2 linked regions of the Saccharomyces cerevisiae S288C genome follow. Changing the gene in region 2 together with the main gene of any one other region gives a genetic interaction. Each region holds a gene or a part of one and is shown on either strand. Other genes may lie near its edges.

Evidence for each region.
Region 1: of HUA1 (region 2) and THR1, extra expression of one rescues a mutant of the other (dosage rescue), as found in Saccharomyces cerevisiae (one study listed by BioGRID).

The regions. Positions count from the first base shown.
Region 1 is NC_001140.6:157,134-161,011, forward strand, and holds THR1 (homoserine kinase), read left to right. Parts: upstream 1-2,304; coding exon 2,305-3,378; downstream 3,379-3,878. Other genes in the region: MYO1 (myosin 1), read left to right, coding at 1-319; MAS2 (mitochondrial-processing protease subunit alpha), read right to left, coding at 611-2,059; VMA16 (H(+)-transporting V0 sector ATPase subunit c''), read left to right, coding at 3,711-3,878. UniProt on the Saccharomyces cerevisiae protein: Commits homoserine to the threonine biosynthesis pathway by catalyzing its O-phosphorylation.
Region 2 is NC_001139.9:1,025,508-1,028,923, forward strand, and holds HUA1 (Hua1p), read right to left. Parts: upstream 1,147-3,416; coding exon 550-1,146; downstream 1-549. Other genes in the region: FOL2 (GTP cyclohydrolase I), read right to left, coding at 1-228; chromatin segregase YTA7, read left to right, coding at 1,863-3,416. UniProt on the Saccharomyces cerevisiae protein: May be involved in assembly and disassembly of the actin cytoskeleton.

The sequences.
Region 1 (3,878 bases), on a different chromosome or scaffold from region 2:
CAAGAGTTTGGAGAGAGCAGTGGAAGAGTTACAAACTAAGAACTCCCAACAAACAGATGTAATAGAACTAGCGAATAAAAATAGAAGCGAATTTGAGGAAGCTACTTTGAAATATGAGGCTCAAATCTCTGACTTAGAAAAGTACATTTCTCAACAAGAGCTTGAGATGAAAAAATCCATTAGAGATAATTCTTCTTACCGCGACAAAGTGCAGGAAATGGCCCAAGAAATTGAATTCTGGAAAAGCCGTTATGAATCTACCATGATAGGCTCGAAAAATATTGATAGTAACAATGCACAGAGTAAAATTTTCAGTTAACGAACTTTTTTTTAAAAATTTGGAAGACTTTATATCCTTTATTTAAAAAAATAATGATGAGATGTTTTGTATATACAGAATGAGAATATGCATTATTAACAGAAAAAGACGACACGAGCGTTATATACTAAGTGGCATGAACTCTTTCACCCCGTATCCTTCGATAGTAGTCTTAAAGGTGGTACATAAAATAAAGAAAATAACCGATTCAATAGATAAGCAGCGGAAATAAAGTCTTTTTCCTATCTTGAAATCTCCAAAATAAAAGTAATAAAGTACTGCTAAAGTTGTTCAAAACCAACCCTTCTTCTTGGGACTATCGTTTTTGGAGGAGGAGCTGTTACCCAATCCATATGCCTTCAGTACATTTTCCACATCTCCAAAGGATCCTCTGTCTCCTTGCATTACAACAGTAGCTCTACCCTTACCATTGCCAGCATTATTTACATTTCCCGTAAATATCATTTCGGCAACACGTGAGATATCATCTGGCTTCAAATCTTCGATCTTACTTATCATTTCGTTGACTGGGATTTTGCGACCATGCATGAGAACTTGTCTGCCCATATCTTCCAATTCTACCAGTTTAGACTCTAGGTTCATTAGTAGTGAAGACTTCAACTGATTCTTGGCCCTGGAGACTTCGTCTTCAGTTAACCTCAAATCCTTATTAGCAAATGTATTATACATTTGCTGTGCAATTACCTCAACCGCTTGAGGAGCTGCCTGCGGTATACAAGATAATGAAATACCGAAAATACCAGAATCCGAATAAGAATGGTTGAACGCAACACAATTTTCAACAAAGTAATACTGGTTCAAAACGTGGGTATACAAACGAGAATACATCCCCTTTCCTGGCCCACCAGCACTGAAAGAACCACCACCTCCAAGTAAAGTTTGTAATGTTGCTAAAGCATAAATGTCTGGATGATCTATAGGGAGACCTTCAAATCCGATCTGGATGTGGAATAATTCTGGTAAATTCCCAAACACTGGTGCTGGTGGAATACAACTTTCCCCGCCCGTATATTGGGCAACTTTTTTGGTGATCGGAGGGTGTGTAGATTGCCAGTCACCGAGATACTTTTCTGTAAGCTCTAATGCCTTTTCGTGAGGAACACCAACAAATGCCGCAACAGTATTTTCTGGGGTGTAGAATTTATTTCTGTAGTCCAATAAGTAGTATTTAGAAATAGAAGGAATGAGCTCTCTAGGGCAGATTAAAGGGGACCCCAAAGTTTCTCCGGAGTATGCTGCTGTGTGCAACAGCTCAGGTAATACCAATTCTGGCTTCATCCAAACTTCATCGATTTCATACTCTGCCGACAGCTTCTGTTCTTGCAGTTCTTGCTCAGTAATCTTAGGGAACCTCACAGTTTCTGACATTAATTGAAGCATTTTACCCACATCCTGGTTGAACACAGAAGCCTGATACATCAAATTTTCTCTAGACGAGGTACACTGGTAATTCCCACCCAGTAACTCCAACGTCTCTGCCATTGCTCGGCCCTCGACGTGTTCGGTTGATTTGAATGCTAGTCTATCCAAGATATGTGTACAACCCTTCAAATTCCTACCTTCAAACCGTGATCCTGCGTCGATGTATAGGCCTAAGGCACTAAAGTGTCCAGGAGTATTTGATGTCGCCACTTTCAGTCCATTCGCTAGTGACGAAAGCTTAAAATTATCGGTTCTAGCGATGTTAGAGTACAACCTCTGAACGCCGTTCCTTAGCATCTTTTGTTATTAATCAGCTCTCTGCTTTGCATTAATTTGACCACCTGCCCTGAAACACCTTTCTTCTAGTCCACCTGTGTAGGCTTTTTCACCTGAATTGTTCATTCTCGATACGCCCTCACGCCGGATGAAAAATTTGTGCAAGAGTCATCATCTCGAAAAGATATGGTGATAAAAACAAGTGTACTTCTAACCTGCCTAATGGTTATAACAGTAGCATAAAGTAGATATACGGACTACAGAAAATGGTTCGTGCCTTCAAAATTAAAGTTCCAGCTTCTTCCGCCAATATCGGCCCTGGTTATGATGTTCTTGGTGTCGGTCTTTCTCTATTCTTGGAGTTAGATGTCACCATCGACTCCAGCCAAGCTCAGGAAACAAACGACGATCCCAACAACTGCAAGCTGTCTTACACTAAAGAAAGTGAAGGCTATTCTACGGTCCCATTGCGTTCTGATGCTAACCTGATTACCAGGACTGCGTTATATGTGTTGCGTTGCAACAATATTAGAAACTTCCCCTCCGGAACCAAAGTTCACGTCTCCAACCCAATCCCACTTGGCCGTGGATTGGGTTCCTCTGGTGCAGCAGTTGTGGCAGGTGTTATTTTAGGTAACGAAGTGGCCCAATTGGGTTTCTCTAAGCAACGTATGTTGGACTACTGTTTGATGATTGAACGTCATCCAGACAACATAACCGCTGCTATGATGGGAGGCTTTTGCGGTTCATTCCTAAGGGACTTGACCCCACAAGAGGTGGAAAGACGTGAGATTCCATTGGCTGAGGTGCTTCCAGAACCTTCTGGTGGTGAAGATACCGGTCTGGTTCCCCCATTACCTCCCACCGATATCGGTAGACATGTCAAATACCAATGGAACCCCGCCATTAAATGTATTGCGATCATCCCACAGTTCGAGTTGTCCACCGCCGACTCCAGAGGCGTTCTTCCAAAAGCCTACCCAACCCAGGACTTGGTTTTCAATCTACAAAGATTGGCCGTCTTGACCACAGCTTTGACCATGGACCCACCTAATGCCGACTTAATCTACCCTGCTATGCAAGATCGTGTCCACCAACCTTATAGAAAGACATTGATCCCAGGTCTCACGGAAATCTTATCATGTGTCACCCCATCCACATACCCTGGCCTATTGGGTATCTGCTTGTCAGGTGCAGGCCCAACTATCTTGGCTTTGGCCACTGAGAATTTCGAAGAAATCTCTCAAGAAATTATCAACAGGTTCGCCAAAAACGGCATCAAGTGCTCCTGGAAACTACTGGAGCCTGCCTACGATGGTGCTAGCGTCGAACAGCAATGAAATGTCCTTTACCCCTAGTATACTGTGTTAAATACTATTGTAGACCATATACATACTGTAATTGACCGTTAACGGTTATTATGCTGAGTCTTCTTCCGTTACCCGTCTTTTCTATCTATTTCGAAAATAAAAAATAAGTGAAAAGAACGAAATTTCACAACCATTAACAATACAGATAATGAATCGAAGTTGTTTTCAGTCTCAATTCAAAAGACTCATAGCCAAGGCCAGTTGATTGATTTAGCCACAAGTATCATTCAACGTAATATCCACAGGTGTTTTTTTTCTCACCGGAAGGCGAATAAAATACAGGAGCTAGAGCGTGTAAGATAATGAACAAGGAATCTAAAGATGATGATATGTCCTTGGGGAAGTTTTCCTTCTCCCACTTCCTATATTACTTGGTGCTAATAGTAGTAATAGTGTACGGTTTGTACAAGCTTTTCACTGGACATGGATCCGACATTAATTTCGGGAAGTTCTTGTTAAGGACATCCCCT
Region 2 (3,416 bases):
GACATCTTCACCCAGTTCGGTCAAAATTGTCTTGATAGCGCCTGAAATGCGTTGAATTCGTTCCTTTTCCTCCTCTTCAGTTTCCTCTGCACGTTGTCTTGTACCCACACTTGGCCAAGAAAACCCATCTCTCTCGACAGGAGGGTTTAAAGTGTATGGAGAGGTAGGTCTAATGTTTAACGGGGTTTCATGTCTTTCTATCTCTTGCACTAATTGGATGTTATGCATTTTGGGATGATTGAAAGTATTGGTTCTAACAAAAAATGAGTCACGCACGCACAATCACGATTGAGGATGGAGTCGTATAATATTTTATGAACGGATGCTATATCGATCAGACGGTTGGCACCGTAAAAATAAATGAAAGAAGTTAAAGAAGGGCAAATCAGTCGGATTATGTGATAAGTATGTAATAGACATGTTTGAAAATTAGGAGCATTAAAATATGCTTTTCATCCTACAGTTGTTCGGTCTTTTTTCTTTTCGGTGAGCGACACAGCTTTTCTACTAAGGCCGTACCGGGTCATCCAAATCCTAAATTTTCATGCGCTAATAGCGTTGAGGCTGGGTGATAATTCTGCCTACACCATGACAAAGAGGACATATATCTTCGTCCAACAGGAATCTGGTGCGTCCGGACCCTCTGCATTCACCACATAGCACGCCACCCAGGCGAGGATCCCCTGGTTGAACGTACAAGGGCCTATTACCCTGCCATGCGTTGGTGTACACGGGCATTGTATAGTTTGTGTAATATGTCGGTGCAGAAACAACGTTATTTTGAGGTGCAAACCTCCTCCAACACGACTTGCAAGATCGTCCATTCTTCAACTTGTAACCCGTATTTCCACACTTGGAACAGTAAAACCTGGGAGGGTATGTCCAGGGCAAGCTAGGATTCTGTTGTGGCCTCGGTGGAGGCCGTGGTTGGGAACTTGTAGGCGTATAAGAGTGTGAGTGAGCATATGTTTGGGATGAGGACGTTGCTGGCATTGTCGAGGGCCTTTGGTGGGGTCTTGATTGGTGCCCTTGCGCCAAGTTAGCTGCTGGTCTTGGTGGTCGTGGCGGTTGAGATTGCAATCTCTCCTCTTCCTTGATTACGTCCTCGTAGCTCGGCAGTTCATCATCATGCGTGTCTTTAGACATAACAGTATGGTTTATACTCGTTTTATGGGTATTTTTTGGGACTGCTTAGTTCTTGACTTGAAGCCTCTTTATTCCCTTGATGGAAGTGTCACTATTAAAGATGGAGGCGGAGGCTATACCGTAGAAAATGATATGTTTGTATGTTCTGCTCTCTTCCCTCTATTAAAAGGGGGAAAGAGAAAAATAAATGGAAAAAAGCGATTAAGCCATAGGGAAAACACTCTTGTGGTGGCAAAGCATCAGATAGGCAGGCAGGAGGAAATGGCAGTGAAGTGTCAAACCAAGCATACTTTCACTGGATTGATTTGAAAGTTAATGCTGAGTTTGAGATGTTTTAAAGAGGAACTGTGGTGATCGGTTATTTCTATTCGCTTTTGTGTGCGTCTTTTCATCGTTTGCAGCTGAACTTGTTGAGGCATTAGCCGCTGAGGAATTTTTTTCTGCCTCTATAAACTTGTTTATTATCACTAAAAACGTACCGTCTGTTATTTTGTACGGCCATGTGTGCGAAAAAGGACAAAGTGGTAGCGAAAGAGCAATATTGGGACGAAAAGGAGCAGAAAAGGAACTGCGTAGGGTCTTAAATAAAGCAAAACGTCTGAAGGATCTTGCGTACTCCTTACTAACCCATTGTTGTTTTCGACAGTCATAAAAAGAAGTTACCACGGTCTATTTCTCTCTTCTCGCTATTTATTCACAATTGGTGCAGAAAGAACATGGCACGAAATTTAAGGAATAGACGCGGTAGCGACGTTGAAGATGCAAGCAACGCAAAGGTTGGGTATGAAACACAGATTAAAGACGAAAATGGCATAATCCATACAACAACTCGCTCTTTGAGAAAAATAAACTACGCAGAAATTGAGAAAGTGTTTGATTTTTTGGAAGATGACCAGGTCATGGACAAAGATGAGACGCCCGTTGATGTTACTAGTGATGAACATCATAACAACAACCAGAAAGGCGATGATGAAGACGATGATGTTGATCTTGTATCACCGCACGAAAACGCCAGAACGAACGAAGAGCTTACTAATGAAAGGAACTTGAGAAAAAGAAAAGCGCATGATCCAGAAGAAGATGACGAAAGTTTTCATGAGGAAGATGTCGACGATGATGAAGAGGAGGAAGAAGCAGACGAATTTGAAGATGAGTATTTGGATGAAGACTCGAAGGATAACAACCGTCGGCGCAGAGCGGCCGATAGGAAATTTGTAGTACCAGACCCTGATGACGATGAAGAATACGATGAGGATGACGAAGAAGGAGACAGAATAAGCCATTCGGCTTCTTCTAAACGTTTGAAAAGGGCAAATTCTCGAAGAACAAGATCGTCACGTCACCCAGAAACTCCACCACCGGTAAGAAGAGCTTTAAGAAGTAGGACAAGACATTCGCGTACTTCAAATGAAGAAAATGACGATGAGAATGATAATAGCAGGAATGAAGCGTTAACTTTAGCTGATGAAATTAGAGAGTTACAGGAAGATAGTCCTATCAGGGAAAAAAGATTTCTTCGCGAAAGAACTAAGCCGGTAAATTACAAATTACCACCACCACTAACTGCTAGCAACGCAGAAGAATTTATAGATAAGAATAACAATGCACTTTCTTTTCATAACCCATCACCTGCACGGCGTGGTCGCGGTGGTTGGAATGCTAGTCAAAATTCTGGTCCCACAAGAAGGCTTTTTCCCACTGGTGGACCTTTTGGTGGCAATGACGTAACTACAATATTTGGTAAGAATACTAATTTTTACAACCAAGTCCCATCTGCATTCAGTGATAATAACAACAATAAATTAATACTGGATTCAGACTCTTCCGATGATGAGATATTACCTCTTGGCGTGACACCGAAAACAAAGAAAGAGAACACGCAAAAAAAGAAGAAGAAAAAACCAGAAATTGCAGACCTCGATCCATTAGGCGTAGACATGAATGTAAATTTTGACGATATAGGTGGTTTAGACAACTACATTGACCAATTAAAGGAAATGGTGGCCTTACCACTATTATACCCAGAATTGTATCAAAATTTTAATATCACGCCCCCAAGGGGTGTTCTTTTCCATGGTCCTCCTGGTACGGGTAAAACACTTATGGCAAGAGCGTTAGCAGCAAGTTGTTCTTCTGATGAAAGGAAGATCACATTTTTTATGCGTAAAGGTGCAGATATTTTATCCAAGTGGGTTGGTGAAGCTGAAAGACAACTCCGTTTGTTATTCGAAGAAGCTAAAAAACATCAACCTTCCATCATTTTTTTTGAT